4 linked regions of the Styela clava genome follow. The protein of the gene in region 4 interacts with the protein of the main gene of each other region in a biochemical or structural test. Links are inferred from orthologs where the notes say so. Each region holds a gene or a part of one and is shown on either strand. Other genes may lie near its edges.

Region 1 (7,252 bases), on a different chromosome or scaffold from region 4:
AGTTGCGATTTTAATTCTATTTAATTTTTTACCATTAATAATTTTTTTAATATTTCGAACAAATCACCGTTAATTTCTAATATTAATTTGAAAATTTCCAGATGAATTTTAAAGTTTAGTGAAAAAATATGTACGGTAAGTCGTATATCATAGTTTTGAGTAAACCTTTCGAAACTGCATTTGGGCTTATGTTAGTGGTGATGTTAAAAACCTCAATGACTGCAGAGCCTGAGCCTAGCTCCAAGGTAAAGAATAAAGCTTGAGCTGGGGTTGGAGCCATTGCAATTTAATTTAAATCAGCTCCTCCATGCCATGTACTAAATATGAAATATGCATCATTAGGATAATTCATTGTATCGAGAAAATATTTTATTTTGAAATAGCGATATGTGTACTAGTCAAAAGGTAACAATGTCATACTCACAGAATCCAAGATTCTCATTCATAGTGAATCTTTGGATGTTAATATTCAAGTTGAAGAGCTCAGTCCATGGATTTGAATAGATGACAAAATTTGAAGACTAATGTTTTACATAATGACATAATATGATACAAACGCAAAATATAAGATAATGAAATAAAAGATTCGCACAGAATTTGAAGGTTTGAAAAAAACAAATGTGGACATACAAGACAAATCATGTGGTGTGGACATACAAGAAAATCACAAAACCTGCAATCAATGGTCACTAGATTGAAAATTCAACAAAATTTTCCCTTTTTGTTTTTTGCACTTCACAAACACAGAAACAAACTCTTATAATAAACTGGCAAAAAACGTTCCCTCCCTTTCAGATTCAAAAGTATACCTACAAAAGTACCACATCCCAAAATCCCAAAGCAATTTTTAGTTCGGTTTTCAGATACATTGTCCGAATTGAAAATCAAAAACATCAAAATATGTAGAAATAAATACACATAAGAGGCATAACCAACATTGCCATTAAGGTGACGACAAAAATATTTTCCAATCAAAAAAATATTTCCTCTATATAATGTATTCACTCACGGTGCCCAATTGGAACTCATTTCAACAAAGTAAAACGATATTTACACGTATATTCTATATACAACATAGCAAACTGATTCACAGTGGAGCAAAACAGACTGTTACTATTACATTACATATGCTACTCTTACACACTCCTAGAACTGCTAATTTATTTAAAACATAACATAGAAGTCAATAGAAAAAACACTCGATTCAGGTGTACAAAAAAGTTAGCATGTATGGAAATTCAATGTATGTTAAGTAATCTAAATAATTTAACGACATTGTCAAACGGTAAACGGAAGTTAGATAAAGTTGACCAGTGAAATACATATGATTCATTATTAAATATATCGAATCCTTAATTTTTTCTGAATTGACTAGAATATCACCAATGCTGACTAATAATTGTGAGCCTTGTTGTCGTATGTAATGAATTAACCCATGGGTATGGCCATTAAAATACCTACATGTTATCTCAAGTAACAGGGTTATAATCTCAACTTTCCACAACATAATATTTATACTCCTTTTATGGATTGCCAATGAAAAATACAATACACTCGATAAATATTGTCGCAAAGCAAAAAATATGAGTGTTGAATACTCAGTTGAATAATGACCGAATTATACAAATTGCCATGATTTCATCAGGACATCGAAAAAATAAACTTACAATTGAACAATAAATGATTTGAAATTACTCCTTCAAAGATAAACAATTCCAATATGCAACATTGATGATTTTTTGTATTCCTGATGGAATTTATTGAGTGACATTTCTAAGTTTCCTCCAAATAGTGTTAGTCATATGAAACAGAGGAGTCCTATCCAATTGGTGTTGACAATATAAGTATTGGGTTGACTATTTTAAGGTTCAAAATTTCAGAATACCATATAAATTAAAAACGATATTAACGATTCATCATACCATAGTAATTATTTGTTATCTGTATTCCAGTTTCACATTGTACCTTATCGATGGAGCGTAATTAATATACATCTAATATTCAGCAATAATGTAAGCAGGCATTACAGAAGTATCCTTTGACAAGTAAATGAGCATTGCAAATTAATTCACATAAACAAGCACAGAGGTGCAGTGATTTAGGCCATCTAAGCAAAATTTTTTTTAGCACGAGTTGGCTTATTACGGGCTTACGGCTGTAATAAGTACGATACTTCGTAAGATCTATATCGTTTCTATCAAGTTAAATTTGCGATATAAACTTTTCACAAATATAATATTCATAAACTTTGAATAACGCTATTAACTGCAAGAGCAAATAGAGCAACTCCGGCAACAATAACTAAATTTACAAGATTAGATTGGTTGTCTCTCTCCCTTTCATTTGCAGCGTTTGATTGTTGTTCATTTTTTACATTAGCATTTGTTGTCTGAGATGTTGTTTGAGCATTCATACTTGCTCTAATTTCCTTGGCAACTCCTGGAAATAGTTCACAGAAAACTGAATCTTTCAAGTTGAATGGTCCACTCTGAAGTGCGAGTTGACGTTTTGTATAGTGTGATGTTTCAATAGAACCTAATGTGGCAGAATCTTCGACCATGAAACTTAACAACCCAGTTAAAATAGTTCCTACAGACCAGGCAGGATTCCAAGTATCTGGATGAAAATCACTTATCGATAAGCACAATCTTGTGTTGCATTTGAATCTTCCTGATGGGGTGATCATGTATATAGAAGGTGGGCGGAATGGGAATTCCCTCGGAAAGACTAATTTTCCATGATATATACCACCAAAATAGGGTGTGTCATTGGGTCCTAACACCAAGTAATGCCATTCAAGAATATTAGATGGCAGGGGTTCTGCAGTGACATATGGAATTGGATCTTTCTTTAACCTAAGATAGTCCTGTTTAAGTCTTTGTGTAGCCGTCGTTGGTGCACGCTGCACAGATGAGCTTTTACGAGACATATTGTTTCTGTCACTAAATATAACTTATTATAAGATACCGTAACTCCTGTAAAAACAAAAGAAAATATTGCACAAACAAATAATTAAATTCAGTAAAGGATTTACCGTGGTATTTTCAGCATCCATGCACTCTGGCGAATAGTTTTTGTGGGTAACAAAGTACGGACAAGGTGTGATAGTGACAAATTTCTCTTCATTAATAACTCCAGAATTTGTTTTTTATACAGCAGAAGCATATTTTCAAGTGGTACGTACGTACACAATTTTGCATCAAAAAATAAGTTCAAGAATGGTTCTGTGTTCTGTCATAGACGATGTTGAGGCAGAAGTTGGGTAGCAAGATTAATTAGACAGACCACTTAGGTCTTGAATTATGTTTTCAAATTTGTTATCCATACAATGTGTTTATACAACTGTGTTTGACACCAATTCATGTTTGAAAAATATTAAAATGAGTATCGTGAAAAATGTTTGTACAATTTGCATTTATGACACCAGATAGTTCAATACAAGAACATCAATAGCAAAGGTAAATTATAGCAAACGTTATCTATTTTTCCCGTAACCAAGTCCGAATTTCCCTTTTCCACTTCCTTCAGGTGCAATAGGTTCTGTAATCCCTGTTTGATATTTTCCTAGACTCTGTCCCTTATTCCAACCCATTTTCTTTAGCATTTGGTGGCCTTTGTTGTGATCGGCCAACTCTGTTTGCATTGAAGTTGGCATCTCATCTTTTTCATATGGATTATCACTGCCTAACAATCGCCTTCTTTCAGAAGCTCTATCCACATACTGCGGTTCAATACCGAATTCCGATTGCTTATATTTATCATTATGTAAATTATATTTTCTCCTAATATTCTTCAACTCAGATCGCCTTTGTTTTTCCTTTTCATTTTTTGTCAAAATTTCAACTGAATTATTGGTCTTATTTGTATCAATCATGGCTTGGATTTGACCAGGTTCACAGTCATCGCATGTATCATAACCAATATGCAGATGTAACACAAACACAGTGTTTCCTATTATTAGCACACTTTTATGTGTAATAGGGCTGGCTAGCACAGTTGTTATACCAGGATTATGTTCGGTGATAGAATTTAGAGTTGTTCCATTCTCACTCCCATAATCAGTGACAAAGTAATTTCTTTGTTGTTGGTTATAAAACACTGCTGCATGTTTTGGACTTACATCAGCTTCTTGTATTTGAATTTCACAGTTTTCACTTGAACCAAAAATTGCACCATAACGAGTAATTAAAAATAACGTACCAGATGTTAGACTTTTAGATGAAGTGACCATAGCTCGAATGCATGGAATCACATTAGTTTCTAAATCCAAGTCTGTATCATTTTCATCCAAACAATCCATTGAATAAATGACTTTTTCTTTTGAAAATTTGGAAGAATCATCACACACTAACTTAAAGTTTTCTAAGCAATGGCGTTTATTTGAATCTTCAGCTAAATCCGAAGCTTTCCGTCGTTTTCTCGACTCTGTTATACCTTCACAACAAACAGAATTAACAAAAGACAAACATTTTGGACATTTCAAAAATTTAAAAGGATGTGTTGACAATGTCTCTAGTTCAGTATCAGAGCAACTGTCTAATTCTGATATTTTTTCATCTTTTCTTGTCATTCTGTTACATACTGATTTGCCATTGATATTCATATTTAAGCATTTTTCATTCTGGCAACAACAGGTTTCCGTTATGTTAGAACATTTCCTACATACAAGATAATTTTTCCTTGTTGATTTAATGCATTCAATCTCTGAATCAGACAAACTGTAATCATGATATGGTGATCGCCCGATTTCAGTTTTGCATATTGATATACAATTTTTATTGTTTTCTGCCATCCCTTCAACTTCAGATTGGCTATTCGTAAAGTGGGAGCAAAGTTCGTTCACCTGGATTGCTTTGAGATGACTCTTCTGAGATTTTCCATATTTAAATACCGCTTTTTTCAGAGACGAAAAAAAAATTTTATCACCTATTTGCTTTCCAATAATATCATCTCTATCAATATTCGTATTTGACGTGTCATTGAAGCTCATAAGTTGATGCTGAAACTCGTATTCTTGTGAGTCCTGATTATATTTATAATAGCACCCATTTTTATAATTGTAATATAGCTTTGTGTTGGGATAGTAATATAGACTAGTGTTGTAATCAAAGTAGATACCCCTTTGTTCATCATAAACCCACCCAGCCGTGTTCATATATGAACGAGCAGTTTGGGCAATGCTTTCAGCTGTGAGTGTCTCTGCAACATTGGATGTATTTTCGTACAAGTGATTTTTGAGTTCCTCATAATCACATTCAGTTTGACAGCTTGCGTCAACAAATTCGGGATGATAAATAGTTTCTGGCATATTACATTCAAACAAACTTAGTTTTTGTTTCAAAATTGCATTCTCCTTTCTTAAATCCAATATTTCAGATCGAAGTGTGCTCAGAGCAACTGCTTTGTCACAATTACATTGAAATGACATAATTTTATAATGTGTTACAAATTTTTATATGGTTTTCATTTACCGTACCGTAAAAGCGCCTAACTTCGGACAGTTCCTAACTTCGGACAAAATTTTTGAACGGCCATATCTTGGCTAAAACGCGCCGTATATTGCTAATTTTAATTATTATAGGATGCGCTGTTATATCTACATCTATTCTCATCTTTTTTAATGTTGCATAATTATTTTTTTGGTAAAAAAACAGAAATTTTGCCGAAAATTGACTGCCCGGCATTCAACGGCGCAGAGCGTCGCTCCTACTGAAGCTATCATCGTCAAAATACCATCATTCGGTAGAGGGCGACAACAATGTATATAATTTATTTGAGTGATCGCAAGATGTCGTACGAGATTTAAATAAAACCTAAAATTCTGAATTATAAATTTCGTAAGAATATTAAGATTTCACGCAGCGTCAAAAATACGTCAACCTCACGTAGATTATTTTTCGCTCACTTCCGACACGACGTCACACTGCGTCGCGGAAATGAATTTTGACGCCAGACACAACGGAGCCAATATGACAATTTCCGTTAAGATAAAGACGGCGTTCCAATGTAATATTTTTGTATTTTGTTCGGTCATGTATGAATATATGCCAAAATTACATTAATGAAAATACATGTCACACTTAATCGATGACGTTAAAAATCGAATATATAAAACTATGATAATTCCAACGTCCATATGGCACAGTGCACTGACTTAACCATTATTTTATGATTAGTAGTCGAAATGACAGTTATTGAATACGGCCTGGGTGGATTTTATTCACTCGAAATTAAAAATAAATTTAATCTCCAACAAATAAACGGGACCTACATGTTTACAAGATTAAGTTGAATTTTAAATTAAACTTTACAATCGGATTTACCGTGTGTTTGATATAAATTATCATTTATAAAGATAACTGCACAGAATAAAAAAAAGCTATCCGCCGAGAATATTAATACTTCAAAGACTTCGATAGAAGCCCGTTAAAATACTTCATTGTGGATTGAAACGGTTTGCATCAGATATATTTACGTATGCATTTCCTGATTAAAATGACTAACGTGTTATTATACTCATCTGAAGTATTGAAAATAACGAACGAAAGATGTAAACATAGGACGACGGAAGTTTCAAATAATGCATTTTCGTCGTGACGTCAATGTTACGTTACGACGACGATCGAGCGTCTTATCTTCACGCAACGACGTGATTACGTCATCCGCATCGGAAGCCTCTTTCTCTCTGTGCGTCGCGGTTACGCAGTGAAGAAAATGACTGTCCGAAGTTAGGGCAGTGAAGGATAACGGTCAGATGGCAAGAAATATCGATTATTTCAATAGTAAAAATAGTCCAATTGAACCGAAATTTGCAGGGAATGTAAATTACCGCACGAATGTTTTACCGAGCAATTTTGGCACCGTTTGGACAATAAATGGCCGAGTTATAGACGAAAATATAGTAATTTTGTCCGAAGTTAGGCGCTTTTACGGTACCTTTGATTCACATCTAAGACAGAATAATAATATAATTTACTTTTTCAGTTCTTTTAAAAATGAAAGCCTCCTGCCCCCAAGATGACCATGACGTTATGTCATATAAAATGATTCTATTCAAAATATTATTAGCAATAGTTGAAAACTTATTTGATAAGTTGGCAGAAAAAGAGATTTCAAACTTAAGATGATAAATATTGTACTCCTTAGTCGACTAAATATCTTGTAATCTGTTCGAATCACTGAATCAGGGGGAATGGGAAATACAACTTTTCCAATAATTTCGTCTTGGGTGAGCGAACACGTACTACTTCTT
Region 2 (7,279 bases), on a different chromosome or scaffold from region 4:
TTCAAATATAAATTTTAACTAAATTTTATATATAAATTCTGAATTACTTATCTAAATTCAATTTGCTGATTCACATTATGCTCAAAGTTTATTTCCAAGCACTCTTGCCTATAAAAAAATGCGGCAATATTAATTCATATCATGAAATGATGATTTGTAATTTTTTTGTAACTGTGAATTATGTCAAAGAATTTTCCAGAAGACAGATATATTTGATATTCCGTATACATAATGTGAAGAAATTCCATGAAAAAGAAAAAACAATAAAAAATAACTAATAAATATATTAAGATAAGATATTCATTTCTTAATATTCTTGTTCATATAAAGATGGGATTTACATATTTATCACGGGGGAAAGGAAAGCCGAAAAGATGTCTTAATCATATGGTGAACCACGGCCTCACGTCCGGTTACCAGTCCAGGTCGGGTCTGGGATTAGTTAGCCAGTTATGTTTTTGGAAGCACGGACTTGATTATTAGATACAGCCTAACCAGTTTTTAGTGGAATATGGAATAATACATAATATGTGCCACTATTATTAACCATACAAATATTATTTCGTTTGTATAATTTGACAATATAGTAATTTCTGCATATTTATTTGAAACAATTGGGTAAGGATTAACAAATGTCAAAATACACGATACTCCATTATAGTCGATTTGAAAAAAAAATTGTGTCTTAGAATAATCATTCTAATTATTGTAGCTCTGCGAATTCAGAATATAAAAATACAACGTTTATTCATGATATGCACTTTATATGCTGGAGTTAAGAATATCTAAATCAGGAGCATGCAACTGTTTATCGCAATGGGCCGTGCTGGATTAACCATTAGACAAAATAAGCATGTGCTTAGGGCACCAACGAAAGAGGGCACTACTAAAAATTCCATTGCGGAATTTGCAATGGTGCCCCAGTGATCTATGAAATAATTTGAGTTGGTCTGACAACTCAGACCTCAATATTGACCCCAGGGCCAGGTCATGCCTTTTAAAGGCCCTGGCAATGGGTCAAACCCTAAAATGATGGCACACTGTGAAACAAACCATACCTTTTAATCAAAACATGACACCAATAAAGCAAATCACCTTATCGAATCCTTGAACAAACAAAATTTAATTCAAGTCTAACACAACACAAATACAAAAATGCTGACAGTGCCGTTACAATAAAAAATAATATTCAAAAGACTATACCAGGGCCCAAAGGCTGTATGTTGCATGCCTCTGATCTGATTAGCTAGTTGTTTCTTCCTTACTAGTTTACAAATTTCATTGATGTATTATTTCATAGCTAAATCAAAATTCATTCACATGGACTGACAGATAACATTGCTAAACAATAGTTGCGTTTTTTAATATTGTTTATATTTTTTTTGAATTCCTCAAATCTCACAATCAATCCCTAGTTAAAGATTAATAGTTAGATAATATTACAAATAAGCAAGAACTTAATATGCTGACAATGAAATAATATGGTAAAAAAAGTTTTCATCAAAAAGTTAGCAATCAGTTTTAAACAGAACAAAAAGAACATTAAGTATGGGTTGAGAAATAAAATCTGGTACATATGCGAGTTGGCCACATTGAGACAAACTACGGCATCTTGTAAGGCGGCCAGTCTGTAGTGACAATGCATTAGAACAGTGGTCCGCAAACTGCGGCTTGCGGGCCCGATACGGCATGCAATCCAAATTTTTGTGGCTCTCGAATGACTATACTTTTAATTGATGAGAAAACAAAAAAGTTTAGCAAATTTACACAAATTTATTTTAGCTGCGCATAGATATATTCCATAATAATGGCTTTTGGATGTTATTTTTATTTTTTGAAGTAATCAGCCGAACGTGTGTACCGATAGTTGTAATAAGCATAGAAATAGGAGTTAGAGGTTCGTCATACATTGAAGTTTAATGTAGCGAGAGTTTTAAAAATAAAACCTAAACTCAAAGGCGACTGAAATCATGTCAGTTTATGCACGGCATTCATATTGAAGATTGCAAAAGTAACAATAAACTAACATAAAAGATATATTATACTATATTAAGATATACTCATAAACAATACAAAAATAAACATTATTATATCATTGACATTGATTTGGAACTATTCCATCTATTAAGCTTAAAAGTACGGTGAATATAGAGTAAAAATTAATTGAATTTTGAAGTTAATGAGACGGACCTGGCTCATCAGTTTCCATTGGAACTACATATGGACTATTAGAAAGTGTTTGTTTTATTGACTCAAGTCTGGCAAGTAATTCCCCAAATCGGAAATGTCCTGTATTTTGATTAAATGGGTCTTGCATTGTTCTCCCATCCATTTTCATCAAATTCTTACAAGTGCTAACATAATAATCATAATATTCCATAAAAGATGACTGCACAACTTTTTTAACTTCAGTGTCCAATGAATTGTTAATCGCCATATCACAAACAGCAACTCTTATTGTTTCATGTCTAATGCAATCATTGTATCGCATCGAGTCACCAGCTACTCGTTCACTTGCAAATCCCGGTTCATTATGATACGGTGACTCGTTCATCACAGATTGTATTGAAATAAGGACAGATGATAAAGATTGGGCGGGACTCCAACCAGGCCCAGACCAAGTTCCAAGTATGCTCAAACACACTTTGCCATTTTTGTAGAAATTTGGGTTGAAACGTACCATTCCAAGACCAGTTGTTAGCAATTTTACTCTGGGGGGCTTTAATGGGTAATTAGGAGGACAGCGTATGTAAAATAAGAAAAATCCCCCTTCGTAAGGAGTGTCAAAAGGTCCAGTTACTATGGCCTGTAATCGTGTTATATCATCTGGATTAGGTAAGATGACAACGCCTGGTGGAGGCGCTCTGTATATTTCCAAAATATCTTTCTTCAGTCGGACTATGGTGGTGTGAGATGGAGCTTCATTTCCCCAGTCATGAGATTGCAGAGGATCCCAGTATGACATAATACACAAAAAATATCTACTATACTGAATAACACCTGAAAAATATAGTGAAAAACAAGAGCTGCTGAGTCAAAGTTCGGATACAGTTTGGTGTGTTTTTATTAATTTTGGAGTCAAAGTCAGAGACATAATTTTAAACTCCTCAAAGTCAAATTTCAGACAGATTCCAAGTACATTAAAACATCATAAATAACAGTCGGTGCAAACCCCTCTTTTACTTGACGGTCTGAGCCTCTGTATCGACTCAAACGGCAAATTTGCACAGTTCAAAAAAACTAAAAAATCTAAATCTAAAAAAAAATCTAAAAACTTCACCATTAGATTTCTCGGAAAAAATAATCCAATTTACCAAAGAAAAAAATTATATCGTAGTATTTGAGAGTTTTTAGCAAAAAAAAACGCAATTTGGTCAAGTGACGGCAGACGCACGTCACTATTGATTTAAATTATTAAAAAGCCAATCTTGGTGGATCTTTCAAATCTGCCGTCATGACAGACGTCCTCGTAGAGTGTTCGTTTTATTGAACCAAATGTTGGGACATTTTGGAATCGGAGAACTAATGAAAATACTGCCCTACTGAAAATAGGACTGTCCTAACTTAAAATGGAATTACACTGTCCCAACTCAAAACGAAATTACTAACACCAAATGGCCAAACTAGGAAGTTGTTCTGTCAGATCATGTATAGCGGACAATGGACAATTCAAATAGCCTATGTGTGGATCAAAATATTTGCTATGTTCTGAAATAGTTAGATAGTAATAATACAATATGAACTACAGACTGACAGACAGACAGAGGACCAAAAGAACTACTTCGTCTTTAAGCGACAATTACATATAAACGACTAGTCTAAACAATTGCAAAAGTTAAAATATATGATAGCCTATTTCAGTATTCAGGTATTTGTTCCTGTGTTGATTCAATTCAGCGATTGCAATGATTACAGGACTAAATTACTGTACCGTACCGTAGTTATTTTTTGTTTCAAATCATATAATTATCTGGCTGTGCTTACATGTTCCACTTACAGGTTGACGTTTGTTCACTAATTTATGAACGTATCTGAGTATACCCTGCCACAACCACCAGTCAGTATGCTATACGTACAGAGTGTAAGCAATAACTTAATATGCTGACAATAAGGTAATATAGTACTGTAGTAAAAAAAGTGCTAACAAGTTTTATCAAAGAGTTAACAATCAGTTTTAAACACAACAAAAAGAACAGCAAGTATGGGATAAGAAAGAAAATCTGGTACCTATGCGAGTTCGCCATATTGCAGTATTGAGACAAACTACAGCATCATCAACTACGGCTTCATTTGTATATTAATTCTGGTGATCTCTCATAAATCCTAATTAGATACCGACAAGTGGTTCAAATTTTCATCAACCAAAGACGGAAGAAATTGTCAGAAGTTTATTACATTCAATTATCTATTTCATATTTGCTGTTTTTGTTAAATCGCCTTCAAAGTACTGCCCGATTGTGGATCGCGTTTTTCTATGATTGTTTTATTTTTTGATGGGCGGGCACGTACGCTTTTTAAATTTATTTTGAGTTATGCATGTTTCCCAGGTTTCTCTGCATTTTGTTTTATCCGTTTACTTTTTGTATTGTTCATGTTAGAGAACCAAAATGAATGATTGACAGAGGCATGAATAGGGCCAAGTTCGATAATACCGGTACTCAGCCAATTGATCAAGCGTGGAATTTGTTTGAAACTTTATTTACAGAATTATCCTCTAAATTCTTATAGATGTATACCGGCCAAATGTATACCGGTATACATATTTCTGCAGTATTGCTGGTATTGGGTGTTAATGTTACGGTACTGCAGCACTGCATTACGTATGGTACGGTACCGTACTGCAGTACCACTGTGTTAGATAACTCACATGACTGCATGGTCGCGGATTTTTTTACCATGCCTGAGTATTTTTTTTTTTTCTTTTATGATTCCACAATGTGGATTATGCAATAAATAAAAATCATATTTTAATAAATGAATAACAATAATCAGGTTTACATAAATAACAAATGCCTGAGTATTGTTAGGGGTATCTTTATGATATCATGGGCTGGTGATCTGACGAGAGGTCATGGTTCGCCTTATGACAGTATGATTAAACCATCTTATCACTTTCCTCTCCCCCGATATAAATATGCAGCCAAAAAATCCTATCCTATCACACAAAAAATTATTATTTAAGCATTACTGTATTAACACAACGATGAAAATAGTCAAGAAAATACCGCACTTGATATCTTACCGCGTATACCTGTATACCGACATCAGCCCCGCGTATCGACGCATCCTTCTATTTCGTTGTCTCCATTTTATTTTACCTCATACACGTGGGGTATGCTCAAAATAGTTCCACCTCGAGATGGCGCATCAGGGTGCTGCCTAGCAACAGACGCTTGTACGAAGGGGTACTCGGTACGCGTCGTGTAGGGTCGTAAAGTTTTATAAGCCTGGTCAATTTGATTTACATTTAAAATAGAACACACTTCAACTTCAAGATGAATCAAGAAATGCTATATCAATTGGGAAATTCCCGTGAATCGTGGTGTGCAGTGGAACTTAACAAATCACAAGACTGGTGTAGATCTGAGAGAAGACATTCAAAAGTAAGGAAGGATGCCCTAATATCGATACTGAAGTCCTATTTGCAAAGCAAAGCTTCAACGAAAAAGATAATTTTTTATTTGTCATTGGCTAGCAATCAGTATGTGGTGACGGGACTTCAACGTACCCCAAACTTTATTTAGGCATGTCAGACTGAGTTGAAAGTCATTATCAGTATAAAGTACTATATAACTTAAATGTTTGTAATATTTTGTTGTGTGTTGAACACCAAATGCCAGATAATATAATATTTTAACCAATTGCAGGAAAATTTTGTCAGCACCGTCTTCAATCCGACAGTAAACACCGATTCAGAACCAAGATGTCAGTGGAAAATTGATGCTCCTACCCATAGAGAAAAACGCCATTTCTCCTTCGCCAGTAAGTTAGAGCCTCGACTTATACTTTGCTCATTAAATTAGAATATAGTAAAGATGACTGCATGCAATAGGGTTTTCACGGAATTACTCAAAAAATATTGATGATTCAATTTGAATCTAAATTTTGGGTGTAACTCCTAATAAATGTTCTATTCCAATTTAATGGCTATGCGTTAAAATAAGTCAACAGTTGTCGCCTGTAATCCTCGTGTGTCTCGATTATATTTGAAAATTACACTTTTTGTTCGAATATATTCAATACAAAACATATTAGCAAAACATTTAGTTTCTTTAATGTAGCTACAGTTTTATTTTATCTATTCTATGTATGAAAAATGATAAATAGTATATATATTCAATTTAAATATAAAAAAAATACGTTGTAGACCAAATTAAGAACAATCTTTAAATTGAAAAAATGGCGCTAAATAGCGCGACTCAATTAGCGCTACAGACATAATTTATGACTCTTTTCAAATAAAATAATTCATTTATCTTTTTGTAGATGCTAATCAGCTGAAGTGAAGATTCCCATTGCATGCGTATATTAGCTGTCGTATACATCGACTCGAATCATTTCTATAGTTTTTGCTGTTATTTACCTATTGGTGTTTGAGAATAATTTGCCATATCTTGCTATAATGATTATAGTTTAGCTTTTAGTTCGCCATCTATAAATTGTTGTATATTAGTTTACCTAAATGTGTTGCTTCGATAGCCTATTTATTTTCGTGCCATATTTTAAATTATAATTTTATACTGCTAATATGCTCTGTGCATTTCACTAATAGAGAATATTAAGTTAAGTGTTTCTGTTGATATGATTGCTCTCTGTAAAACGAGCATTGATTTTATAGCAGAAATCAAAAGAGTTTGCCAATTAGAAATAAACTCTTTCCCGACACCTATACGCAGCACTATTGGGCCCATGGCCAGTGGCGTGCCTAGAGTAAAGATGCTAAGTATGACTACTTACACGTATTCGATTCTTATCCGATTCCTAAATTTTTGATTCCGATTCTCGATTCCTCGACATATCTTGCCGAGAAAACATACCCACTTAACCGCTTGAACCCGGCAAGCCGGTTTACCGGCTTGTTTGAGTACGCTCTGTGCCCCGGCAAGCCGGTTTACCGGCTTGTTTTTCGTGTCGGAAGGAATCAACTTTATGATCTCGTATCTCAAGAACCACAATGAGTATTTAAATAAATTTTAGATTGCATGAAAGCTTGTTATTGGGACTAATTATATTGTAAATATCGGTGCTCTAATATACGATGTTTCAGTAAAATTAGCAA
Region 3 (8,026 bases), on a different chromosome or scaffold from region 4:
TAGTTTAGGATACTTGTTTCAATTCATGAATATTTTGAAAGAGAATCTAAAACATACTGATGTCTACATGGATAGTCTGAAGTGAAGCATTATTAAGAGATATTTTCTGAGTGTTGAGTGACAACGGCCACACTAAATGGCTTGGCAGACTGGGTTCTCTAGGGCTATGTCTCATTACTCTTTCCAGTTATCACAAAGACCCCCTGATATAACTTAATTTAAAACACCAGCAAAAATTGAATTGAAGGAGATAGGCAAGCATACATAAAAACAAAACTTGGATGTATTATACACAAATAGTATTACAATAACATACATAAATACTTTTTCAAAAATTAATGTTAAGAATTTCAACATTTTAACTATGAAATCTCTAGTCATTGTACGGGTCATACACTAGAGCAGTCTTCCCCAAACTATGGGTCGCCTGGAAATACTCTTGGGTGCTTGTTACTGATTTTAACAAAGTGACTGATTTCAATTTCTAGTACCGGTAATTTTTATTATTTCATTTGGTATTGAAGAGTTCCTCATTATATATGTGTAAAGCACCACAGCATAAAAACCTGGCGACATCAGTTTTGCTAATGCCACGATTTGAAAAACTATAATAAAATAGTTTGGGTAATTAACAGGGATTGATTGAATATTGGGCGCTCCAGAAGTATGTGTACCAATATGGAGGTAACTAATTTTGTTCACCTATTTTACATCAAGTTGTGTAAAGGGAATGTAACCTATGGGCAAGGAAAAGGACTGTAACCTATGGGCAGGGGGATATTCACTTGGCTAACACAGACAGCCTCCGAACTTGTGCTAGAACTAAAATAGGGGGATTGGAATAAAATTATGGCCTAACATGGTACACATACTACGATAGTACCAAATATTCGGCGCGTATTACTACAGCCCATTTCTTTCAGCATTTGTGCCAGCAAAGATACTTAAGCAATAAATAGTTCAGTAGTTTAAAGGGCCTGCTTTCACTTTTGTAAATTTATTCTTAGACACTTTGTCTGACTAAAGACTCCTTCATTGTTGCAAATTGCTTGTCTGAGAAAGTCTTGACTTTGGTCAGGCCTACTAATAAATGAATTAAAAGTGTGATGGATAACCTTTGACCCCTCAATAAGGTATAGGAGTTGATTTTGGCAATCAATCATATTCACTTGAGTCAAAATATTGGACTAGTGGCAAAATTTGCTGACAAGAAAAATATTAAAGAGTGAAAGTTTCTTTGGACTGAAACGGTTGATAAGGCAGGATGTGGCTAAATTTTAAAATAACTTCAAATCTAACTCCGCCTCCACCTAAGTGTACCACAACCCAACTAGAAACAAAATTGAAACGTTTGTGCATTTGAAAATTAGGAAAAAGTACTAACTGAAACCCTCAGCTAAATCTAGCTTGCATGTATACAAATTTTACTGCACTATGCATATATTTTTACAATGGGCTATCATTATCATCTGGAGGTGCCAGACAATTTCAATCAGCTGAATTGTAAAGCAAAAAACTATAAAAATATACTATTTTTTCAAGATATAATTTACATGCGCCAACTATCAGCTTTAACATGACAAAATATAAGAAAGAAAATTTCCACCAATCCCATTCTAAATTTTCACAAACCCCGGTTATATTCAGAAATACACCACAAAAATTCAAATTGTATACATGTTCAACCATAGAGTATTTGTTATAAATATTCCGAATAGCTCTACCTTGCAGCTCATTCAATACATATACACACAAATCATTCCTTCAATGCAAACAGTCAATTTTACATAAAAAATTACAATTTGGATTACCGGTATATAGAATTCTTTAAATACACATTTTAGAATTCCATAAATTTGTAATTCTGCTTAAACTAAATTCTATACACTCTTATATGTCATGCTACTAAAATGTGGCATCATAAAATCACCTAATGGCAGGGCATGAAGCCATGTCACCAAGTCTATTCCACCCTAAATACACAAATTAAAATAAACTATAATAAAACTAAAAAAAGAATCAAATTTCAGACGGTCAAAGTTGAAAGGTTAAGGATCATTAAAAAAGGTTTCCTCTTAAATCATAAACCCTGTCTAATCGTCTTAGAAGCAATACGGCAAGAACTACGCTTAAAACAATTATTAACATGAATGGTGTTGAGTCCTCTTGGTGGCGCTGTGCGTTTTGTTGTGGTGGAGGTTGCTGTATTTGCGTTTGCGGTGCTGGTTGTTGGGGGGTAGTAGGGGGAGGAATCGATGAAATTTCTGGGGGGGATGTTTGTCGCTGCCGTAAGCCGTCTGTGTTCGGAGGAGTAGATGACGAATCTTCTTCGGTTGTTGAAGTGCTTGGCCCTTTCTCACTTTCCGATTTCGTTTGCGTTTTTGGTTTCGAAAAATTAATTTGTTTCGCAAGCTCCTCGTCGCGGATTTCACTTTCCGTTTTCTGGTGAGAATCCTGACCTGGTTCTTTCAACAACTGCTTTATAGAACCACAGCATTGGCAACTCCATGTCGAAGATTTTTTCGCAAGATTCTTCCTCTCCTGTGGGCTGTAATCCAGAGCGCCTATAGCTCCTTCCCCTTTAGTAGGCATGAAGCCTATGATGGCAAGAATCGCAGTACGAATACTCCAACTTGGCTGCCAACTTTCAGGATGGTAGCCAGAAATACTCAGACAAATTTTTTTATGTAGTTCAAATCGACCATTCGGTGTTAAAAGCATAATACTTGGTGGCTTCATGGGGTATTCAGGGGGCAGAATAATTCTACCATGGTACATCCCGCCATCAAAATCAGAATCAGACGGTCCACGAAACGTAAAATGCCACTCAAAAAGGTTATCGTCCAGTGGTTGCGCTGAATATTGCTCCGTTGCGTCTTTTAATTCTTGTGCTTCTCTCATTAACCGTTTAACAGCTGGATTTTTAAAGTTATACTGAGACTGTGCCATCTTTAAACGACCTAATTTAAACTAATTAATAATTAATTAATATCTGAAAATGATGAAAACATTACATTCAAGATAATCAATTTTTATCAGATAACTGTACGAAATATTCAGATAACAGGGTGACCGAGAAAAACAGAACACAAGTAACTTGAAACATATTTTAGAGAAAACATAACTTTTGTGCGAAGCATCCTAGATTACAGAAACTCCTGGGTACAATCATGCACAAACAGTAATTCAACTGTTAAATAAATTTTCTTATAATTAAAAATTTATATCTGTTTTTTTAGATCACCCTGTAGGAACTGTTTTAATGTTTTTCTAATATTCTAAAAATAACGTAAAGAAGGACAAGACTCTTGTGGTAGCATAGAGTGAGGGCCAAAAAAACTTGGGAAGGGGGATTTTTGAAACTGGGAGTGGTTGACACACAAAATTAATAAAGAATTAACTATCGCCTGGTCAGTACAGGATTCACATATTTATTCTGCTGCGAGGAAAGCCGATAAAGCAGCTTAATCATATGGTGAACCACAGCCCCTATTCCGGTTACCAGTCCATGTCGGGTATGGGATTAGTTAGCCAGTTAGTTTTCACAAGCATAGACTTAATATTTTTTTATTGAGGTAAATTCCAAATAAAAACTAAACCAGGTATTTCGATCAGTTACTAATAAGGTATTGGATAAATTGGAATTATTGCGCTTGCTAATGAAACTCAAACTAACGCCAATCAGTGTAACATCTTGGCTTGTTGTTTTTAATTTAACTATATCGAAATTACAGGCAGCACACAAGTATGGAACAAATAAAACAGCAATGTTTTACGAAACTGAGTATAAGCTCAATTTTAGATGAAGTTAAGCCACCATTAGAGATACTATCTAGTTATTCAAAGTTAAACACAAAAAAATGGATGGATAGAATAGAAATGATCTACATTTACTTATTTAAAAAGGTGATCACCCAGGGATGCCAGAAATGATTTGATTTTTCAATGATTTGGAAATAGTTACATTCAATACAGCGTATCCAAGGTCTAAGAAAATTTTCCCAATTCTCCAATTGTGATAGAAATAATTTGTTTGTTTCAACAACAACAAATCAGCCATTAGTGACATTTTGAAGCTACAAGACAGGAAATATCAATACGCAGCAAACATTCAAATTTGGACTATGAAAAAATATTTGAAAAAAAACAATTTAAAGACAAATCATTTCACTGCGAATTTTATATCCCATACTTGAAAAGTTTTTTTAAATATATTTAATTTCGGCCATCCCTGGATCAAGCACAAATAAATAACGCCATTGTAAATTTACTAAAAATCTTGAATCAACATTATTTTTACTAATCACAGCAACTCATGCAATTGACGTGAAATAATAAAAAATTATTTTTACACTAATACAATACAGCAAGATCAGGAATGTAAAAAATGAATCGAATATTCCAATACATAGGTGTGCAACCTTTTATACAGGCAGGCTAGATAATTGGTTTTTTATTGGCGGGATAATTGGCGGGTGCACACCATCCAAGATTGGCACTTCACCACGGGTCGCTCAATTTTTTCTTGTGGGCCGCATTTAGCCCACTGGCCGCAGGTTACACACCCATGCTCTAATACATTGGTATTTCATATAATTGGCCGAGGGTTTCAAGACTAAGAGGCAAATGTTAAACGGATAAAGGTTAAATAAAGCAATATTCCTCAAAGTATCCCAATAAAAAGATAGAGTTTGAAAATCAAATTTCTTCGTTTTCCCAGAACAGATTTTTTTGCAAGTTTCGTCCTTCAGATACAGTCAAGGGCATAGCTGAAGGTGGGGGGATGGAGTTTAGATGTAGAAAAACATTTTTCTGTATCAAATATAGCAATATTTCATAGCTCGCACACTTTTTATACCCTTGAAACTTCTACAAACCCATGTTTTTAGCCTCTGGCCATACCTGATAGCTGTTACAATCTAAGTCTAACTTGGTAAAATTTCAAAACTACCCTTTTTTCAATTGGAAACTTTTGAAAAATTATGAGCATACAAAGGTTTCACTCAATTGCCGAAAAAAATTAGAAAATATAATAAATTTTTAATATCCATCGGAAAAGACCATGGATCGTGAAAGTTTTAGAACCACCTTCCAGATTTAAAATTAGAATTATTCAATTTTGTTAACTCTAACTGTTTCACATTCAATAATATTATAATCACAATAAATCTTACAATTTCAATTTGAGATGAAAAAAAAAAAAATTTATGCTTACAATACAAAACAACATAAAGTTAACATCGACAACATATTTTTGTGAGGTGATTAAAATAATCACAAATCAGCAGCAACTTGTGCAAAAAGTGTGATAGGCATGCATAAATTATATTTTCAAAATACCCCGTTGAAACGTGACGACTCGAAAAAGCTAAATAGAAATAATTCAAAACTGTTTAGAGCCATTTATGCATAAATAATATAATATTCCCAAAATACATTTATCCCAACTGTTCAGTATTGCAACAGGCACGTATAAATAATATTTTCAAAATAAGCAGCCGTTAAGAAAAAACTACCCCAGCGTTTCTGAAACTGCTCTCCACAGGACACTACTGGTACACGAGCTTCTTCAAATTGTTCCGCAAAAGAGGGATCGAAATGGTCGCTAAAGAAATCCCGGTTGTACTTTGATGGATCCAGATCGTAAATTTGTCTCCCAACTGGCAACTGCCTTGCATGCTAAACAGGCGGATAGGCCTCGTGCCATGCTGGAAAGCATGGAGTTCGCGGTAACCGTCAGCCTAATTTTTTAATTATCAACTTCACAGCAACATTTTTCATTTTACCCTAGGAGAAATATTTTTGAAACTGCCCAACGACTTTACCGCCATTTTTTTGATGTTTTCTTGATATAAAAAGCGTAAGTGTTTCGGGGGCAAAGAAGTTTGAGAAACGCTGGACTAAACAATGGAAACCAAAGAAAATTAATTCAAATGATGTCCTATTTTGAACAAAGTATTGAAAACCTGGCCAATCAATAAAGAATCCACTTACTGTTCAGTATTATAACAGGCACTCATAAATAACAATTTCAAAATACGCAGCTGTTAAGTAACAGCTCTAACATAACAAATCCATAAAAAATGATACAAAATAATTCCAATTTTGAGTTGACTTTTGATAAATAACAGTAATTCAATATTGAGAGACATGCCTAAAAAGTTCGAAACACCCAGTTATAAAGCAACATTTATAACAATCCAACAAAAAATATTTCAAAATGAAATCCAAATTTGGGCAAATTCAAACGAAACAATCAATGAAGAACTTCTAATTCCTAAATATTCAGTATTGTGCCTGGGATGCATAAATAATAACTTCAAAACATGCAGCTGCAACATCACAGCTATGACAAATCAAACAAAAATAATTTAAAATGAAGTCCGATTTTTAATTGACACTGGCCTAATACAAACTGGGCAATCAATAAATATTTCCTATTACCCAGCTGTTCAGTATTTTGCAAGGCACGTATAAATTATATTTTAAAAAAAAGCAGCTGTTAGGAGAAGACTAGACTATGAAAAACCAAGAAGAAATAATTAAAATTGAATTCCAGAATTTTTATATCCCAAATTTGTGCCAGGTATCGAATTGATTTTTGACTCGATAATGATTCGCCAACCATAAAGTATGACACCCAACCTGTCCCAGGCACGCCTGAAAATATGATATTGAGCTGTTGGTAATGGAGCGACTTTCATAGGCATGTCCAATTTCGAATGACATCAACATATAAAATAAAAGAAATTTTAAATCGAATCAGACTTTCAATTGACCTAATAAAATCTGGCCAATATAACAGTTCAGTATTGAACTAATAAAAAAAAATTTCAAATTATTCCAATTTCGTCGAGCCATAATTGACTTGACCATACCGAATTTACTGTCGGTATATCAATAGAGAATGTCCATTCTCTAACAGTTCAGTATTGTGCCAATACTGGGCCTTAAATATATTAATTTTAAAACACTCAGTTCTAAAGTGAACACTAAAGCAGACCAAATAATGAGATTTATAACAAAGAAAGAATTCAAAATGAATTCCAATTTGTCTTTTTGTTGACTATATAAGTACAAACTAAATCTCACAGTTCAATACAAATTACCAAATAAGATTAATAGCCTAGGGAGCAAAATTTTGATTATTATTATCTAATTTGAAAAAGAAATGAAACTCGACTCAATATTTTAAAACTGATTTTTCCGCAGCTAATAGGAGAATTTTTCACATTCTAAAATTTGAAAAAAAAATGTAATTCTGTTTGAGTTGTCTGACTTCTTCTAATAAAGTAGCAGCACCTGCGGAAACAATGAAATTTGACAAATAACAGAACAGCAAAAACGTAACAACAAAGAGGTGAATTTCCTATATAAAGTTGTCTTGAAGTTTGTACAAGAACATAGATTATTGCTTCGGAACTAGGATGATGGAAAAGCAACTGCCAGGAAAAGAACAGAATGTTCAAAATATTCAGTGAATTGAAAAGTAAAGTCGTTTTTTTAACTGCACATGATACTTCATTGCGCCACATCTTTGTCTGAAAGTTAATCGGTTTTCTTTGAGGTGTTTTCATCTGTACTTTCCACGTACTGTCTCGCTAAATACTTCAATGCTTCGTCGATTAATATAACAGGCAGGGATATGTAGAGGACCATACTCCACTCAGTCCAATTCAGCGGGCAAATTTGGAAAACCATTGGTAGCGGATCAACGTAGAGAATCATGAAATGGAGTACCATGGACAATATAATCGCTCCTATCAGCCACATATTTTGCCATGGTGGCATTTTCAGCAAGGACTGGTTTTCAGATACACTGTTTAGGGCGTTCAGGAGTTCGATGGTAACGAGAACGGATAACGCCATTGTCATAGGGTGTGGATCTTCAAATATCTTACAATCAATTCCCTCGTAGTTTTCAGGATCGGAAGAACAAGTCATGTAATGAGTAAGCTGCCACCATGACACAGTGGGACCGTTATCTGCATACATAAACCACCAAGACGCCGCAGCGACAGTCGCA
Region 4 (7,096 bases):
TCTCTTAGGTCCTGACCAAAACATAGCACCAGATGTTGTTTTTTGGTCTGGTGGAAAGTTATGTAGTAATTGCGCAATATTGTTATAATACTGCTCCTGGAATCTCGTACGAGCCCATTTCACGCAATCAACGAAAGATTTCGGATATTGCGAGACAAGAGAGGAAAAAACAGACTCCAATGTAACAATAGGTTCCATTCCAGGCAGTTTCTCGGTTCGTTCAAAAAACTTTGCATCAGTAAGAAATTGATTAGCGGTCTCAGCTGGTTGTTTGAAAATCCCTTCAAATTCATCACGTGCCCATTGCAAAGTATGTTCAATCGCATTCGGGAAATTTTTCAACGTGCAAATTGGGATAGACTTTTCAGGGGGATCCTGTGAGGAAGAATAAGACTCTGTGAGAAAAGGCAGAACAACTTGGACATTTCCTTTAGTCCCGAGCGTACCAGATTCAAGCAGAGGCTTACGGTAATACACACATCTTCGATCCATATAAATTCTTGCATCAATGTTGTCCAAAGCATTTGTGACACCATCGAGACCTTCGAAGAAAGAATCGTTGTAAACTTTTTCAGTTTCTGGTCCAACTCTATTCTGATGAGCAATGATGTTAACCTGGGGGTTCATTTTCTTGACAGAAGCGGCTGCACATTCAGACTTGAGTTTCTGAACATCCCATGGTCTGAACAGAAACTGGCGATTAAGATTTGATTTCTCAATAATGTCCATGTCTGTTACAGTGATATTCCCTCCTTCTCCACATCCAAGACCCATCATAGCAAAATTTTTGAGAAGTTCGCAGCCTATGGCACCAGCGCCAACAACAAAATATTTCTGTTGACCAACGGTTTTTTGAAAATCTTTTCCAAAAACTGCGATTTGAGCGTCATATCGATCACCAATGGCTGTACAAGATCCCTCATCCAATTTTTCCTCCCCATCCTCTGGGAGGCACTCAAGAGCATCAAAATACAAGAACTGCTTAATTGGGTTAAATTTTCCGCTACACGCTTTCATTACTTCCTGTGCAGTGATACTGCCAATTACTGCCTGCATAGGGCAAAGATCACCTCGTGCACCATATGCAAGTTGTCGTACTAACTTCTCATCAACTTTTTCCACTTTGGCACCATCTGGTAGCGTCGAATTCAACTCTTCCGTGATTCGTACCAAAGTATCAGCATCCTCTTTATTCTGAGCTCTTGGTAAACTATTTTTGTCAGCGACAAACTTATGTAAAGCATGGAAAGCAACGTGTAATTGGCCAGGACGTTCCCATTTTGCAAAATCAGTAATTACTTGCTCCGGTTCTGCCATAGCTTCTCTGAGAGATTTAAAATTGACAGGGGTAGGCATTTTAACTTGAGTACAGATTCCCCCACTTTCATATTTAGTCAAATTGCTGACATTGCCTATAGTGAAAGTATAAGGTCCAAGGACCTTTATTTCCCTTGGTTGACATCCGTTAAGTTCAACCATTCCTTTGACTTCTGTAAAAGAAACGTGGTCACCACTTTCGAATCCATGTCTAGTCTCGTCCATACAAGCCACAATACCTTCCCCTTTTTCATTCTGTGTGACAGCTGATACCATAACCGATCTAACCTGTTCCCCATTATTGTCAAAAACGACGAATTTCTCACCAAAATCACAAAAGATTTGACCAAAAAGACCTTTAGTATCCGCAACAATGAAGCGAATACCGTTGTTGTGGCAGAAATCCCCAATTCTGAGCTGTTCTTCTAGGTTTGAATTTGTAAGAACAACAACTTGAAATTTTTTCAAGATTTCATCGGTTAAATCTCCAGAGTGAACTTTGACTGGAACATAGGAATTTAACTCGGTAATTTTTCCAACCGAAACCTCGGCTCTGCTTCTCCCAACATCTTGCTCAGTCAAAAAATACTGCGAACTGAGATCAGATAAAACAGTAACGCCATCATCATGAATAGTAACAGACTTCACACCAGCAAGAACTACATTCTTTGCAATCTCCACTCCAAGTCCCTTCATGCCGCTTATGAAAATATTAGAAGCTCCCATCCGTTTCATTGCTTCGTGACCGAGTACGTACAACTGTCGTGAATACAACCCCTCATCGATCGAGTCTTCCGCCATTTTTGTTCCGTTTTGAGCCATTCCGGGTGTTACAGCTACTATCACTGATTCTCTTGTACAAATTGATCCCGTCGTGTCGTCAACTTTTCGAAACTTTTTTGGAGGAGAGTTTGTTATATTGTTGTCGTTAGCTGAAGATTTTTTATCGTTGAAACCGTCAGATGACATGAAGGCTTCGAATTTTGCCGCTACACAAATCCCCCTCAAATTTTTCTTGCTTTTTTGTAGAAAATGAAAAATTTTCTGCCAAAATATTAATTAGGCTAAAGCAAATAATCAACTAATTTATGAGTAAACCGACCTTTGAAACGGTGAATATATAAAGTCAGTATTTAGCAGTTTTGGGGTGGGGGCTCTAGAAATTTAATAGATTTGAATTGGACTAGAAATGGCTCAAGTGGAAAATTGAGACTAATCTCCAGGGAGACTTAACTTAGTGATTGACCCAGCTTCTTGTAGTTTCAAGTATTTTGTGCCGTACGAGATGCCGCAAAACCATGACGGGATTTCCAAACCATGGCCTCTATGACCAAACCTATGACAACTGACTTTTTAGCTTCCACAAACCAATAGCGAGATACATTTACCAAGGCCACAAATTGAAAACCAAAGGCGGGTAAAATTTAGCTGCCATAACCATGGCATGTCGGCTGTAATGGCAGGGCTGCCCCTGATGGTGATAAATATTGGGTAAGTTGGAACATTTTTCCTATGGACACACTTTTCATGGATTTAGGGTTAGGTTTCAGGTTTAAGTAGATACAATTTCGCATGATAAACTGAAATCTGGTACATGACTTGTGAATATACCGGTAATAGTGCCCTAACCACAGCAAGAGCTGCCCTGCCATCGGTTCGTCCGTGGCATGAGCTGCCATGAAGTGGTACGAAGTGGATGGACCTTTCCCCGACCTTTGACCCCCAGAAAATTCTTCCTATACTTTACCATTAGAAAATTTTCGGGGCTATTTTAAGAGTGCCTTTGCGAGTTGGCGCCTGTGAAATGGGGTATGTTTCCCGAACCATCATCAGGATTCATCGTACAACAATCTGTTTTTTAAAAGTACCGGTAAATGAATTTTAGTCTAGTCTATCACAGCTATTTTTACACTAATTTTTATTACTGCAATTAAATTAAAATTCTTAGGAAGACAGAGTGATCATTGAATTATCTGATTTATATTTAAGTTTCCTGAACACAACTGAAAACTAACGAATAGAGTCCAAAAACGCGAAAACGAGGTAATGTTTACGACCACACTTGAAAATCTGAGTGAGAAAAGTGTCTAAGCGGATGTGAAAAGGAAGCATTGTTACGTCACTTTTTGCATCTTGCTGATTGGCCAATGTCACGAAGTTAACAAGAAAGTCGATGCTCGGGGAAAGGTCCATTACATGGTACCCGCGATATTATTTTGAAAAAGAACAGCGTTCAATGAACCTGTAGACCTGTGCCAAATGTAATATGATTCAGTGCTATTATTACAAAACATTGCTGTTTTCCATTCCATGATTGATTGAAATTCAGAAATTACTGAATTATGGTGAGACAAAAATATTTTACAAAATTAGAGAAATCGGGTCTAGGGTAGTTCCGTACCTAAAGTATTTCTAGTGGGCGTAGCATAACAATAATATTTTTGCATATGTTAATCATAACCCCGGGTCTCATGTAGTTTCGTACCTAACGTACCTCTAGTGGGTGTAGCATAACATTTTTGCATATCAGCATATGTTAATCCTAACCCCCACCTGACTGCGTCATCCAAATATTAGTCACAACGACATCACAGTGATGTAATGGAGCCCTTCCAACTATACGAACTGCCATCTAAGACGCGCAGACGATCACCCAAAATCGAGCAAGCTAGCTATTTCTTTCGTTTTCTCATCGCAACAATCTCCAACCGTTAGTCAGTTTTTTATCATCGGCGCAGATGCCATTTTGGGCATAGTTTAACTTTTAGACTTTGGCAAGCTCTATGAATTTACGAGACAAATAAACATAGATACATCTGTGCCTTGTGACGTCGCAGTACCGGTAACGTATTTTTTACGTAAGTTACCGTACATATGTAAAGTCATGATCAGTTCTCGTTTTGTGGTCTGTGAGGACAGCACTTTAGCAGGCTGTCTTCAAACAAACTGTTGACTACATAGAACCAATACCAGGATACAGTACCCGGTAGGCCTACAGGCTACAGGTACCGGTACTACCGTACTGCACAGGCGTAGGCAGACAGGTACCGGTACCGTACCTTTATGCTGTTATGGCAGTGTGATCAGTGCATTATTCAAATCGCGTACCGGTACCGCTTCGGCTATTTTCATTCCCGATTTAAATTACTTCAAATTGTTGGAATGTGGGCACATTTAAAGATACGGTATAATCCCAAATATGCTGAACATTGCCGTTCTTTGTTCAACAAACATAAAAATAACACTGGAGCGTCACGGCGATGGCGCAATGGAAGGAAAACGCTCGAAAAGAAATATGGTAAGCATGACATAACCGAACGGAAGCGGTGGCCGGAGTTCAATATCCGAACCCGAAGCGCGCAAGGCATTCTACATGGTCGTGAAGATTTTCGTATTCGACCCGTGAAGTGGGGATCCGATAAGACGACCTGTAATCAGTAGTTTATAATTATTTCACCTAATTATATAGCAAACCCCAGCTACTCGCCCGGTTTCCAATCTATGTTGGTTATGGGAATAATTAACCAGATTCACGGACTTGTACGCGGGGAAACCATAGCCGACCAGCACTTACGACTACGTGAACCACCCCTACAACTTGTGAGAAGTCTAGCAGTCCTGTCGTGCATAATTATCATCCACAGAAGTTGAAAATGCGCAAGTTAAATAAGTACAACGCCAAGCGTATTTCTCATGTCGAGCACAACGCGCCAAACGCCGATATATAAATAAACGAATAAGGATCAAGTTTATTCTGATTCCCCGAAAAATACATACATGAAACAAAATAATGAAAACACAAACGATTGAGAAAATCATGAAAACCTATAAAAGTCATAATAGGATGTAAAACACGTAGAAATACATGTGCCAATTTCACCTCAGTATCCTAGTATGCAGGTATGTAAAATTGTAATAACAGCGGTAGCCAGCACATACAGCAATGCCAACGTAGTTCACATTATTCAAATCCTATTCTTTAGTTGTTCATCATTTCGAATGTAAGATGTTCTTAACTTTTATATTCTATTTGTTTCCAAGTTAATACCGTTAAGATGTTCTTAACTTTTATATTCTATTTGTTTCCAAGTTAATACCGTCGACACATCTGACCCGCACCCCGTCATGAGAGAAATCTGCTCAATTAATTGTCGTGCGCAAAAGGATATGATCTCCGAGCAAAATTACGGGCGAATAGTAAAGTGCCATGATCTACTGACACCGTAAATAGTGAGGGCGGTTAGTTACGCGATGATAAATATCGACTGTTGCAACCTAATGCATCAATTAACATTCAACAAAATGTAAAATTTTCCTGCACCATCGTAAATATCTCATTGTCTCCTAAATCTGACCACAACAACTCAGCTCTTTGTTCTCATTATTGTGTAGCGCGGCCTAAGGCTATACGGACTAATAACTGGGCCCACTGAGTTTTCCCGATTGCTGGCCTCCTTAATAGATCCCCTGTGACATTGGTTTAAATAGTAATAATTAAACTACCGAATACTTGAGACACATAATCGAGATCATCTTTGTTTAAAACAAACCGATTAATAATCCTCAAACTTTAACAAGTCAAAATCTTTTCCCTAAAAATTGAGTTGGATAATCACACCATATATTCGAATAGGATTTTTATTATTGCAAATTAAAATTCTGCTAAATTAAAAAATGTTCATCTTTGTGCAGAGCAATATTATAAACAATTACCCAAAAAATTGCCAAGCGTTATATTAAAAGCAGTGCATATTTGCAAAGTACAAATTATATAAGCAAGCTAAAAAGTATTGGATTGTATAATATATTACGGGAATGAAGATGACATAGGCAAGCAACTAGTTTGAACAAAAGATCAGTAAATAAGCTGTTATGAAATAAAGAAGTGTTCCACTTCAATAAAATAAAACAGCAAAATATTTGGTAGGATATCGGGTCCCACACTGGCAGGAGGAATTTAAAAATAAAAGTTTTAGCTTACTAGCGACTCTAATCAACTGTAGTAAAAAAATGAAATCAATTGAATCATTAGTTGCAGAAAAGAGCGATTTTTTTTAATAATAACGAGAATTTAGGGTAGTGATCCACCTGTCCATTTCAATTACACTAATCACAAGCAAATGCATTTCATAAGTTTGTTACTTGTTAGTAGAGAGGGATAAACTAATAAAATATAAATTGACTCAAAGGGCAAGTCATCAAATTTTTTTTATTTGTTCTATTCTATAATTTGTGCTTCCATATCGTCTTTCGGAGTATCTTTACCAAACAAATATGTTAGTAAATTTGAAACAAGTTTTCTCAGCTGTTCTATAATGGAGTCGTCATCGAGTGTGAAGATCCTAAACCTCTCATTCTTAGCATTCAAGTTTCTTGCTTTTTCGGTTTCTGCTTTGATCGCGAGGATGATCTTATCCTTTATGTTTTGACCCATTGTTCCCTTCTCAATATCATCAAGGAATTCTTTTTCGGTTTTATTTAAACGAGTTGGCTTCACGTAGTGCTTTTTCATGTGCTGAATAAACAAAATAGGTAATTAGATTAAATTTTAACGATAAGACAACTCAATCATCTGTTCGGATTAGGTTGTCCCTAAAATATCAAGTCTACACTCGTCTATTTGATCCAGTGTTACAAATTTTCATTCATACGAATCCTCACTCCTACACTTTTTATGAAGGTTTACTGTAATCTTTTGCTGAAGTATTAAATCAACTACAAGCCATTTCGTGTATTTACTTTAACCATTTGCCTCACAATATATATAACTAGCCCAATT

The links.
Region 1: of the proteins of ubiquitin-like modifier-activating enzyme 1 (region 4) and ubiquitin-conjugating enzyme E2 J2-like, one has a biochemical effect on the other in vitro, tested with the Homo sapiens proteins (2 studies listed by BioGRID). The link is inferred for Styela clava from reciprocal best matches to the Homo sapiens genes UBA1 and UBE2J2.
Region 2: of the proteins of ubiquitin-like modifier-activating enzyme 1 (region 4) and ubiquitin-conjugating enzyme E2 Z-like, one has a biochemical effect on the other in vitro, tested with the Homo sapiens proteins (3 studies listed by BioGRID). The link is inferred for Styela clava from reciprocal best matches to the Homo sapiens genes UBA1 and UBE2Z.
Region 3: the proteins of ubiquitin-like modifier-activating enzyme 1 (region 4) and ubiquitin-conjugating enzyme E2 J1-like form a complex in vitro, tested with the Homo sapiens proteins (2 studies listed by BioGRID, with this or other methods). The link is inferred for Styela clava from reciprocal best matches to the Homo sapiens genes UBA1 and UBE2J1.

The regions. Positions count from the first base shown.
Region 1 is NC_135261.1:15,008,427-15,015,678, forward strand, and holds ubiquitin-conjugating enzyme E2 J2-like, read right to left. Parts: upstream 2,956-7,252; 5' UTR 2,930-2,955; coding exon 2,240-2,929; 3' UTR 522-2,239; downstream 1-521. Other genes in the region: ubiquitin-associated domain-containing protein 2-like, read right to left, coding at 425-446; uncharacterized protein LOC120329411, read right to left, coding at 3,476-5,428. UniProt on the Homo sapiens protein: Catalyzes the covalent attachment of ubiquitin to other proteins. Seems to function in the selective degradation of misfolded membrane proteins from the endoplasmic reticulum (ERAD).
Region 2 is NC_135255.1:6,259,360-6,266,638, forward strand, and holds the start of ubiquitin-conjugating enzyme E2 Z-like, read right to left. Parts: upstream 3,019-7,279; 5' UTR 2,966-3,018; coding exon 2,177-2,965; 3' UTR 1-2,176. Other genes in the region: protein SPATA45 homolog, read left to right, coding at 5,496-5,603, 5,868-5,982, 6,487-6,506. UniProt on the Homo sapiens protein: Catalyzes the covalent attachment of ubiquitin to other proteins. Specific substrate for UBA6, not charged with ubiquitin by UBE1. May be involved in apoptosis regulation.
Region 3 is NC_135255.1:18,740,099-18,748,124, forward strand, and holds the start of ubiquitin-conjugating enzyme E2 J1-like, read right to left. Parts: upstream 3,008-8,026; 5' UTR 2,950-3,007; coding exon 2,059-2,949; 3' UTR 1-2,058. UniProt on the Homo sapiens protein: Catalyzes the covalent attachment of ubiquitin to other proteins. Functions in the selective degradation of misfolded membrane proteins from the endoplasmic reticulum (ERAD) and is essential for cells to recover from ER stress.
Region 4 is NC_135250.1:3,247,850-3,254,945, forward strand, and holds the start of ubiquitin-like modifier-activating enzyme 1, read right to left. Parts: upstream 3,023-7,096; 5' UTR 2,287-3,022; coding exon 1-2,286. Other genes in the region: uncharacterized protein LOC120325420, read right to left, coding at 6,536-6,832. UniProt on the Homo sapiens protein: Catalyzes the first step in ubiquitin conjugation to mark cellular proteins for degradation through the ubiquitin-proteasome system.